Linked DNA regions of Ovis aries. The protein of the gene in region 1 purifies or fractionates together with the protein of each later gene. This does not show direct contact. Links are inferred from orthologs where the notes say so. Each region holds a gene or a part of one and is shown on either strand. Other genes may lie near its edges.

What was found. The genes of interacting proteins can lie anywhere in the genome.
Region 2: the proteins of SAAL1 (region 1) and SLC27A2 purify together in Homo sapiens (co-immunoprecipitation; 3 studies listed by BioGRID and IntAct, with this or other methods). This does not show direct contact. The link is inferred for Ovis aries from reciprocal best matches to the Homo sapiens genes SAAL1 and SLC27A2.

Annotation. Positions count from the first base shown.
Region 1 is NC_056068.1:34,149,686-34,155,775, reverse strand, and holds the start of SAAL1 (protein SAAL1), read right to left. Parts: upstream 3,819-6,090; 5' UTR 3,778-3,818; coding exon 3,646-3,777; intron 2,320-3,645; coding exon 2,206-2,319; intron 1-2,205. UniProt on the Homo sapiens protein: Plays a role in promoting the proliferation of synovial fibroblasts in response to pro-inflammatory stimuli.
Region 2 is NC_056060.1:58,219,093-58,225,219, forward strand, and holds the start of SLC27A2 (long-chain fatty acid transport protein 2), read right to left. Parts: upstream 4,112-6,127; 5' UTR 3,929-4,111; coding exon 3,451-3,928; intron 1-3,450. UniProt on the Homo sapiens protein: Mediates the import of long-chain fatty acids (LCFA) into the cell by facilitating their transport across cell membranes, playing an important role in hepatic fatty acid uptake.

The DNA of each region.
Region 1 (6,090 bases):
CCCTCCACCCATGATCTCAAACAGCGGCTCTATTTCACCTTTTTATATTTGAGGTTTTCACACTAACATTTCATTTGAAAAATGAGTTTTATTTCTTTAAAAAAATGTTTTCACACCATAGCTTCTTAACAATTGGAGGACAAACAGAGAAGACTTGAACAATACTCTCAACCGACCTGATCAAACTGACATTTACAGGACACCACCCAGCAACAGGAGTATACACATTCTTTTTAAGAGAACACAGAACACTTACCAAGACAGATCAAATACTGGGCCATAAAACAAGTCTCAATACATTTAACAGAAGTCAGAGTGTTCACTAACCACAGTAATAGAAAGATAGCTGAAAAATCCCCAAATATCTGAAACTTAAACAATGTACTGCTAACTCATTAACCAAAAAAAATTAAGGAAAATTAGAAAATATCAATTGAACTAAATGCAATGAAACATATCAACATATCAGAAGCTGTACAACAGTTCTAAAGCAATATTTAGAGGAATATTTATAGTGTTAAATGCCTATATTAAAAAAGAATGATTTCAAATCAACAACCTCAGCTTCTACCTTAAGAAATTATACAAAGAAGAGCACATTAAACCAGAGTAAGCAGAAGAAATGAAATAATAAAAGATCAGAGTGGAAATCAATGAAGCAGAAAATAGTAAAGCAACAAAGAAAAATCTGTGAAGATTAAGGACCCATCACTACATATATTAGAAGGATAATAACAGACTACTGCTGCTGCTGCTGCTGCTGCTAAGTCGCTTCAGTCGTGTCCGACTCTGTGCAACCCCACAGACGGCAGCCCACCAGGCTCCACTGTCCCTGGGATTCTCCAGGCAAGAACACTGGAGTGAGTTGCCATTTCCTTCTCCGATGCATGACAGTGAAAAGTGAAAGTGAAGTCGCTCAGTCGTGTCCGACTTTTAGCGACCCCATGGACTGCAGCCTACCAGGCTCCTCCATCCATGGGACTTTCCAGGCAAGAGTACTGGAGTGGGGTGCCATTGCCTTCTCCTACTATGCCAATAAATTCAATAACTTGGATGAAGTGGATTAACTTCCTGAAGAACACAAACTATCAAAGTAACCAGAGCAGCCCTGTATCTATTAAAGAAACTGAATTTACAGTCTTCCCCACAACATACTGCCAAGTCGCTTCAGTCGTGTCCAACTCTGTGCGACCCTAGAGACGGTAGCCCACCAGCCTCCCCCATCCCTGGGATTCTCCAGGCAAGAACACTGGAGTGGGTTGCCATTTCCTTCTCCAATGCATAAAAGTGAAAAGTGAAAGTGAAGTCGCTCAGTCGTGTCGGACTCTTTGAGACCCCATTGACTGCAGCCTACCAGGCTCCTCCATCCATGGGATTTTCCAGGCAAGAGTACTGGAGTGGGGTGCCACTGCCTTCTCCGAACATACTGCTGCTGTTGCTGCTAAGTCACTTCAGCCGTGTCCGACTCTGTACGACCCCAGAGACGGCAGCCTACCAGGCTCCCTCGTCCCTGGAATTCTCCAGGCAAGAACACTGGAGTGGGTTGCCATTTCCTTCTCCAATGCATAAGTGAAAAGTGAAAGTGAAGTCGCTCAGTCGTGTAGGACTCTTAGCGACCCCATGGACTGCAGCCTACCAGGGTCCTCCATCCATGGGATTTTCCAGGCAAGAGTACTGGAGTGCCTTCTCCGAACATACTAACAACCACTAAATGGTGAGTTTTATGGTAATGATTTGTATCTCAATAAAACTCATTTTTTTAAAAAGTAACATATATATATATATACACAAAACTAAAAACAAACAAAATCTTCCCACAAAGAAAACCCCAATATCAGATGGCTTCACTGGTGAATTTCACCAAATATTTAAGGAAGCATTGATAGTAACTGTACACAAACTCTTCCCGAAATGCGAAGAGGGAAAACTTACCATCTCATTCTGTGAAGACAGCGTTACCTTGGTACCAAACCAGACAATGAAAAGAAATGAATCTCTCTCATGAATATACATGAAATTTCTAAACTACATTTTAGTAACTTGAAAATCAATCAATGTAGTTCATATTCACAAATCAAAAAGAAAAACCACATGACCAACTCAACAGATTTAGTGAAAACATGATAAAATCCAGAGACTTAAGGACTGAAGCATTCACCATCTCCTTACTCAACAGTCTTTTCAGCTTCATTTCCAGTCCCATACCTCATCCATGGACATATCCCATACTCTGCAAATTTCATTCTCCATTTCTTCATCAAGCTCCATCTGCTGCTCCTCGTCATCCGAGCTGGATTTGGCATTTTCAGGGCTAACCATCTTCAGAAACACAAAGTAAGGAGATGAATAAAGGCTGTCCACAGCACTCCTCCAGTAATATTATCCCATAATCGTTTAGAAGTCACAAAGGTTAGTATCCTCAAAGTACCTTCTTCTCCAAGAAGCTTATTTTAAAAAACTAGTACCTGGGGCACCTTGGGGAAATACTGCTGCTAGGCACTGGGGTAGAAATATAAAGGTAAATAAGATTTACTTACTTACTTCCAAGTAGTTAAGGATCCAGTGGGGAAAAGACATATAAACTGATAATCACAACAGAAAAGGTAAGTGATTCCACTGGATTGTGGACAGAGTCGTGAAAAAAAGATGGATCCATGACCTATGTCTGGGAGCTTTCCCAAACTTCTCTTAGGAGGGGATATTGAAGCTAAATCTGAGGGGAAATCAGTTTGTCATCCTGAAGAAGAGGAGACAGAGAAAAGTACAAAGAGTTCAGAGTTAAGAAAAGGCCTAGCATGTGTGGGGAATGGTGAGCAGTTTAGCATGCCATGGGCAGATAAATCTGGAAAAGCTGCAAAGAGCCCTGGATTTCCGTCTAAGAAATAGGAGTTTTCCACTGTAGGCAACAGTAACTATGAGAACTCCCATGGACGACTTTTTTTTTTTAGATGATTCGGGTAGCTGTGCAGAAGATGGACTACGGAGGACAGTGATTGAAAGCAGAGGGAAAAGTTAGGGAAACATGAGAAGAACGTTCACATTTATTGAGAGGTTCCTATAAGGCAAACTACGGTAAGCATTCTCTGGCTATCATAATCTTATTTAACTCTATAAACAATAATACAAATACTACCCCACTTTATAGAAACTAGGAAAGAAGTCGGTTACGTGACTTGCCCAAAGTCACGGAGGGCAAACCGCGCTTTTGACATTAGAGCTGCAGGAAGCCCATTTATTCTACCTCAGTGAAAGTCCTCGAAACAGATAAATTACGACCTGGGCTTCAGAAACTACAGCGGCAAAGGGGCGCAAAAACCCACCGCATCACATGCACTGCATGTAAGCAATGCATTTACACGGTCACGTATATTTGGAAATTTTGTAAAAATAAAACATTCTAACCAAAAGCATTCCAGCATCCCTACCGTTACACTTCCGTTTGTACTGAGGGGCACAAAGAGTGGCGCCCGGCAGTTTTGGGGTCCGCGGGTAGACAGCCTGGAGGCCAGGGGTAAGGCCCGGCCGCCGGGCCTGGGGAGGGGTCGTCGAAGGGACGGCGGCTCCCGGGGCAGGAGGGGGGCTGCCCGAGGCGGGGCGGCAGCCTGGGGAGAGTAGGGGGAGCCCACTCGAGGCGCGTTTCCGCACCTGGATGAGCCCGCTGAGGACGCCGAAGAGCCAGTGCTTGCTGTAGACCGTGCTGCCTATGCAGTCCCCCCCGGCCGCAGCCTCCTCGTCCTCGTCCCGACTCGGCGGCGGTGGCGACGGGTTGCGGTCCATGTCTCGGCCGCCTCTGGCGCGCGGGAGCCCCTCCGGAAGCCGCGGGAGGAGGCGAGAGACCGCCAGGCGCCAGAGGGCCTAGCGCAGCTCCCGCCACAGCGCCCTCTGCTGCCCGGAGCCCTGCCGGCCTGAATACCCGCCGAATGCATTTGCTGACTGGGATGGGGAGCCCAAATGTCTTGGTCTTACCCCAGCTCTCTATCCAGGACCCCCGCGCGGTTATATTCATAATTGTTATTTGTCACCCTCCCTGGACCACATATTCCATCTCTCCAGGAGCTCTTAGCCTGATTGGAATGGCCAGGGTGCGGGGACAGGGAACAGGAAGATGTATCCGCTACAGACGTGAAACTATTCGGACCTCTGCCCTTTGGGCACAGTTGCCATTCTTAAAAACATCGCTCTTCTCCCAGGTGTGTTCGGAATCCTGGGAAAGACGAAAGTCACCAGTAAGAATGTCAGTATTACAACTCAGTTCAGTTCAGTCGGTCAGTCGTGTCCGACTCTTTGCGACCCCATGGACTGCAGCACACCAGGCCTCCTTGTCCATGACCAACTCCCGGAGTTTACCCAGACTCAAGTCCATTGAATCGGTGATGCCATTGAGTCGGTGATGTATTTTCAGTTCCTGCTACTATTTAGTCTGATGGTACTAAACCTCAGACCCCATGCTCCTCCACACCCCACAGCAAATATTTTAGAACACCCCTTTAAGGAAATGAAATTTACAGATGATATAACCTACCTCAAAAGGTAATGTCAATAATACCAATATGATTCCTTAGAGAAGGAAATGGCAACCCACTCCAGTATTCTCACCTGGAGAATTCCACGGACGGAGAAGCCTGGCAGGCTGCAGTCCATGGGGTCACAGAGAGTCAGACACGACTGAGTGACTAACACACACACACACGCAATATGCTTCCCTTACAGAAATGAAAAATAAAATTAATTTAAAATAAAATCAGTTCAGTTCCGTCACTCAGTCGTGTCTGACTCTTTGTGACCCCATGAATCGCAGCACGCCAGGCCTCCCTGTCCATAACCAACTCCCGGAGTTCACTCAGACTCACGTCCATCGAGTCATTGATGCCATCCAGCCATCTCATCCTCTGTCGTCCCCTTCTCCTTCTGCCCCCAATCCCTCCCAGCATCAGAGTCTTTTCCAATGAGTCAACTCTTCACATGAGGTGGCCAAAGTACTGGAGTTTCAGCTTTAGCATCATTCCTTCCAAGGAACACCCAGGGGTGATCTCCTTCAGAATGGACTGGTTGGATCTCCTTGCAGTCCAAGAGACTCTCAAGAGTCTTCTCCAACACCACAGTTCAAAAGCATCAATTCTTCGGCACTTAGCCTTCTTCACAGTCCAACTCTCACATCCATACATGACCAAAGGAAAAACCATAGCCTTGACTAGATGGACCTTAGTCGGCAAAGTAATGTCTCTGCTTTTCAATATGCTATCTAGGTTGGTCATAGCTTTCCTTCCAAGGAGTAAGCATCTTTTAATTTCATGGCTGCAGTCACCATCTGCAGTGATTTTGGAGCCCCAAAAAATTAAGTCTGACACTGTTTCCACTGTTTCCCCATCTATTTCCCATGAAGTGATGGGACAAGATGCCATGATCTTAGTTTTCTGAATGTTGAGCTTTAAGCCAGCTTTTTCACTCTCCTCTTTCACTTTCATCAAGAGGCTTTTTAGTTCCTCTTCACTTTCTGCCATAAGGGTGGTGTCATCTACACATCTGAGGTTATTGATATTTCTCCCAGCAATCTTGATTCCAGCTTGTGTTTCTTCCAGTCCAGCGTTTCTCATGATGTACTCTGCATATAAGTTAAATAATAGTATGTATTTTAATGTTTTAACTGCTCAGGCACAAGAGTACTAGAAGATATCAATATACTCAGTTCAGTTCATTTCAGTTCAGTCTCTCAGTCGTGTCCGACTCTTTGCAACCCCATGAATCGTAACACGGCAGGAAAGATCTCCAATTTTGGCACATACATATCAGATTACTGTGAGCCTCATATTTACAAATGGAGAATGACTTAGGTGTGGTTCCTGAGGGACCCTGCTTCTCAAAATCATGAATAGATGATGGTAAAATTTCTAACAAAATAAAGTTCCAATTTACATAGCAATTGCAGTAATGGAAAATTTTTAAATATATTAAAAGTGAGCAAAAATACTCTGCATTATTATATAAAATACATGTGGGTCTTAGGCTCAAATAATTATCCACATTTTTTCATCTTTTGTTCAGGGGCAGACTTTGTGGTATTTGAATTATTCAGTTTTGGAAGCCCATTTT
Region 2 (6,127 bases), on another chromosome or scaffold:
TATACAAGAGGAGTATCAACACTGGGGGTGTTGCGCATCATTGGTTGAGCCATGCAAGGTAGACCTGGCCAGTGAGCTAATGAAGGAGTTATCCTTCCAGGAGAAGAGCTAGGTTAGTAACAATCTTAATGTTAGCATAAATGGAAACAAGCAAATTCACTATTTGGGGGACTCTTTTTTTAAAAAAAATATTCTATGTTGTATGAAATTAAATATGGCTCTCTGTCTTACCTGTTTTGGGAAACTGCTTGAAAAAAATACTGGCCCAACAAATTGGTTTCTATCAACTACAACACTGACGGAGGTTCCAATAGCTGAAGGTAATTTTACCATGTGATTACTTACATTAGAGCCTTCTATGGATAAGGATTCTGAAATGCACCACACAGAGAAAATCCTGTTCTCCGGGAGATGGGTGTTTCTGATTGATGCGGGGAGGTGTTGTGAGTCTTTGGCTTTCTCTAAGTATAGTAAGTTCTGATGAAAAAAATTGGGCACTGAAATGCCTGACAGGATTGAGCCCTGTTAAACTTTATGAAGAGTCCCCCAAATTCATGATAAGGGGATCAATCTTCATCATAAACACCACTGTGCCAGTCCTTTGCATACACTCCAGAATTTGACACAGTTGAAACTCAAGAAACCCATGTGCTCTGAGGTTGAAATTTGAAGTGAAGAATCAAACCCTGTTGAATTGTCACCCCTCCAACATTTGTAAAACTTCTTATCTTTATGTCCCATGTTTAGATGGCATAATAGAATATAAAAAAACATCCTAGAAGTGAGACAAAAATAATTAGGTTCTGTCTCCAGCTCTCTCTGACCCTGGGCAATTGATATCACTCCTCTGGGCCTTCGTTCATTCAACTTTAAACAAACAACTATTAAACAAAGTGGGAATTACCAGACTCAAAGCCTATTCCTTAGATGATCTGCTTCCAAATCATCTAGGAGTGGGATGGGGCTAGCTATAAAAATATACTTTCCTGCCTCCCCCACAGTCCTGCTGAATCAATGTTTTTTGGGGATGAGGCTCAGGAAATTGTTTTTTAAAATGAGCTCCCCAGGTGATTCTTCCACTCATTAAAGTGACTCTTCTAAACTTTTTACTGCAGTATAACACACTTGTTAAGAGTTATATAAACAACACACTTGTTATATAACACACTTGTTAATCTTAGGATATCTCTAAAATTCTTTCCAACTTTAAAGAATTTGAAGAATCAGTCCATTCAACACATTTGCACATGGGCACATTTACTAATCAGCATGCAACTTTGGACTCTGTTACCCCCATGACAGTAACTGTTTTGGATCAGAGTGCAATTCTGCATGTGGTGTAATGGTCTCTCAGTGATTTGGAAAAACAGAATGGTTTTCAAATGTGTGGCCTCTCTCAAAGGTCAGTTTACTGTCAGAGTGCTGTAGGTCCCCTGGAAAGTCATTCAAATTTGATCTGAATGTTGGAATTTCATTACACTATCTATGTATGCTGACCACATAATACTCAGTGACAGAAGACTGTTGCCTGGGCATAAAGGGAGATATCTGGTTGTATTTCTGATTTGATTACAGAACCAAACTCCAGTGTAGTCATTTAAATCGAAGCTTCTTTGTCAACAAAACTCCCAGGCCTGGACTCCCTCACTAGGGGACCTGGGATAATATGCAGGTAAAATTACTTAAATGACTCCTGAAGTGGTACCCAGATCACTGTGTTAATAACTTTCCTCTGAATCAACTGGTAAATAGGTTTAAGAGAGTCTTCCAGTTACTAAATAGTGAAGTTGTCTCTCTTCCCAGGCAACTAGAAATTGTTGGGAATTTTCTTCAAAAGGCTATCCCTTTCAAATAATATGTGTGTGTGTGTGTGTGTGTGTGCACACACACACACGTGCTCAGGCACTCAGTTGTGTTCAACTCCTTGTGACCCCATAGACTGTAGCCCACCAGGCTCCTCTGTCCATGGGGTTCTCTAGACAAGAATACTGGAGTGGGTAGCCATGCTCTTCTCCAGGGTATCTTCCCGACTCAGGAGTTGAACCTGAATCTCTTGCCTCTCCAGCATTGGCAGGCGGATTCTTTACCACTATGTCACGTGGAAAGACCTCAGATTATGCCTTTAAAATTACCTCTTTGCTTTTCAGCTTTTATACAAAGCCTTCATTTCTTTTTGGATTATTTATTTTATGTCTGATGGAACAGGTGTGTAGTTTCCTGGCTTCCCAAAATGAATAGACATGTTGACTTACTGTAACTAGGCAAACTCCTTAGCATACTTCAGAGTCCTCAACTATGAAATGAAGGCGGAGAAAAGATGGATGCTTAGTCTGTTCCAGCTCTAACACTTTTCATTTGTGAAGAGAAAGGTAGCATGGTATAAGGAGAGTGATGAGCTCTGAAACTAGACAGACCTAGCCTGGAATTTTAAGCCTCAGTTTCTTCAGCTGTGTGACAGGGGGTAACGATACATTAATTCTCAGGGTAATAAAAGCATCTAGTATAGAGCTTGGCACAGAAAGAAAGACATTCCAGAAAGGTGAGACTTCCTGGCTCCCTATTTCTCCACATCTTTTAGCCCACACCTGTTTAGGCCTCCTCTTACTGAGAGAGTGAAAAGCAATCCTGGTCCTTATTCAAGTGTAGGGACAAGCTTCCTGGGATAGGAAACCCAGTCAGTCCTTTGGGTAACAGATTCTTGGATTCTTCCTGACCTGGTCACCACTGGAGCATGAAGTTACCATTTTAAGTCTTGTTGAAAAGTTGCAGAAGGCAACTACAGAACCAAAGGTCACTGTCGCTATAAACGTAATGAGTGCTCACTAGGGCTTGCAGCAGGGGATCAAAGTCTTCTTGGGGATCAGGTGGATTCTCTCTTTCTGCAGTGAGAATCCAGGGAGGCTAACAGAATTTGAGAGCTGGAAGCAGCCTTGAAGACCATTACAGAGGAGGAAACCAAGATATGGAGAGGGAAAGTGACTTTCCCAGGATTATACAGTCAATCAAGGAGCAGAGGGAGCAGTCTCTCTGGATCCTCTGGACTTCACACTCTAGACCCTCTGCATTTTAATGCAGATATTGTCAGCACCAGCTAGGAACTTGAATTCTGGAGGTAGACAGATCTAGTTAATCTCCTCCTCCCAATTCTGTGATCTGGGACATAAAGCTTCACCTCTCTGGCCTGACTGGTCTCATCTACAAAGTCAACCCTATCTGTTGTAAGTATTACCAGCAACACTATATGTACGGTGATTCACATAGTATCTGGCTTGATCAGCTTCTACAACGGAAGGTTCTAATGACCATTAATTAGCGTTTGGAGGAAGAGTTGCCATCCCCTCTCTCTACATCTCTAGTTGCGATCTGAACCCTCGTTCCCCGCAACCCCTATGCCAGGCTGCCAAGAAGAGAAGGAGCTCAGTGCCAGGGTGAGGTGGTCCCCAGGCTCACCTGGTGAGACCAGTAGAACCTTCGCCCCAGAGCACTGAAAGCAGTGCAACAGGGACTTTCCGCGGATGTTGTAGTTGAGGCACGCCATGGCGCAGCCCAGCTTGATCAGTCCCAGCCACAGGCATATGTAAGCTGGTTCATTGCCCATGAAAATTGCCACGCAGTCTCCCTGCCGCAGGCCGAGGTGGTCGCGCAGCGCCCGAGCCACTTGGTTGCTGCGTCGGTCCACCTGCGCGTAGGTGAGCGTCTCGTCGCGGAAGAGCACGAAAGGCTTGTGTGGAGTCTGCTGCACTTTCTCCAGAAAGGCGTAGAGAATGGTGCGCACCGGCCGGCGCTTTCCATTGCTGCGCGCCCGCTGGGCCACGCCGGCTACCCGCAGGAAGTAGCGCAAGTCCTGGAAGAAGTAAGGGCAGCAGAGGTTCACCAGCAGCGGGAGCATCAACAACCCCGCCAGAACCGCGTAGGCGACTGGCAGCATGACGGCGGCGGAGCCCCCTACCCCCTCCAGGGCGGTGGGCGCACTTCGGGCGTGCAGGGCGGCGGCGGCGGCGGAATGGACTTCCTCCGGGCTGCGGGCGGTGCGGGTTTGCACAGCGAGGAGGGGGCGACAGTGGAGCTTTTGGGCCGCCCGCGCACCGCTGCGGGATCTCTGGCAGAAGGAGCCGGGGTGCTGGCTGTTGGGTGTGACAGGCCGGCTGAGCCTGCCCCGTCGTGAGGGTGCAGCTGCGCGTATGCCCCGCCCCGGCGGTCCTCCGCTGGCTGGGAGGGCGGCTCCGCGGCTCCCTGAGGCCTCGGCCACCTCCCCGCGCGAGCGTGGCGGCCTGGGGGCAAAGCTGGGCTCCCCGACGGTGTGACCTTACAAAAATGGTGACAGTAAGACGCCTTAGAAGACGCTGAGAAGATTAGAGGGGATAATACAGGCGGAGCGCTAGTGCACCTTTTAGAGATGACTGATGGTTATTACCAATAACGTGTCTTATAAATACGAGAACAATCCTATGATTTCCTAGTAGCGGGTAGCAGGTGCCACTGCCAAATCAGAATCCCATCTCTCCTACCTGGTCTCCGGGGCTTTCCGCCTGGTCTCTTTCTGTTTCTCACATTTGCTTTCTGCCACGCGCCCCCCCCCCCCCCCCCGCCCCCTGCAACCTCAGCCCCACCCCCACCCCCGGCGGACCCCGCCAAACCCCGAGCTAATTGCCAGGCAGGCTCTAGTGATGAAGAATTCAGGGGTGAACAATAGCGCCTTCAAGATTGCCGCCTCCAGCTCATCCCAGCCTGGGGGGCAGTGCGTGAGGCCCGGGCGTTCTAATCCGAGACGTCCTGCAGGCCCCAGCTAGCTCAGATTAGGCTGGAAGTGGTGCCACACTTTGCCACATGAAATCAAGCTTCGGGGAAGTTTTGATTTGTTATGATACGTTGTTCTTTAAGTGCCCCCCCCCCCCCCACCGTATATTGAAAATTCTCAAGTATTGTCAGTCCGATTCAGTTCGGTTTACTAAGTGGTTCCGTGAGAAACAGGCACAACGCAGAGAAAAGGAAGCAAACGTCGGCATTTTTCAGAAGCCATCTCTTTGAGTGTCATCCTTTCTTTTCACTTCCTCAAGTGCTGCTTCTGTACTGAGTGAACCCTGGCTCCTTGCTATAGAGGAGGGTCAGAATTTAAGTAAAGCAGCATTTTCCTCTCTTCCTTGCTTGTCTTCCTGCTGTTCATTCATTATATTCTATGCGACAACCAGGAGAAATGAATGCTCACTCCTCTCTGCTAGGGGCTTCCTTATATGATATTTTTGGAGCCTCATGGTCAACTAAAGGTGGAATTTTCAAGCTCATTTATAGACAGGAAAGGGACACTTAGAGAGGTGAAGTAAGACAGCTGGTAAGTGATGCTTCAGATTTGGGAATTGGTATATCTGTTTGGTCCTGGGCCCATTGCTTTATTAAGAGCAATGTGTTATGCTGTTCTCTTATTCTCTGGGTTTCTTCTTTCTTTAGCAGTTTTCTCCCCCCACCTCCTATCACAAACTCCCCTTCCCTCATTTCTTTTTAATCCTCCTTTTTAAATCCCTGAACCTGCTGCAACAACCCTTTCTCTTTTCCATGGCTAAACCAGCTACTGTCTAATGACTGGTTGCATCATTTCCCTTGGGAGTAAGAGAGGGAAGGATCCTGTGGACTTGGTTATCCCTGAGGGGAAGGTTGTAGTGTTAAAGTAGAAGCCAGGACAGAAACCATTCAGGTGTGCACCTCTTCTTTTCATGTTAAAGCTAGATCCAGCCCTCCTTTTCCAGCCCAGTGCCACCTGGTCCCTTCATGACCAGTCACTTCAGCATAGCCTCCTTGACCGACCTCTCTTGTCTTGTCCTTAAACAGTCACTCCTTCTTCAGAGTGCTTGATTGCCCCAAATGCCCACTTTCTCCTCTCTTACTCTGAGGATCACTTTAGCCTTGTGCATCCATAGTTTTTCAGTGGCAAATGAAAGAGAACAAGACCCAAACTGGCTTCAGCAGACATGGGAATTTAAAACTCAGGGTCCAGGGCAGGGCTTCAGGTAAGCCTTCCTCTGTGGCTTAAAAGTACTGAGATCTGGACCAAGTTTCCCTTTCTCCATTTCTCTGCTCCATCAACTCCTTTCTCAGACAAGCTCTTCCCTCATGGTGCAAAGATGGCTGCCAA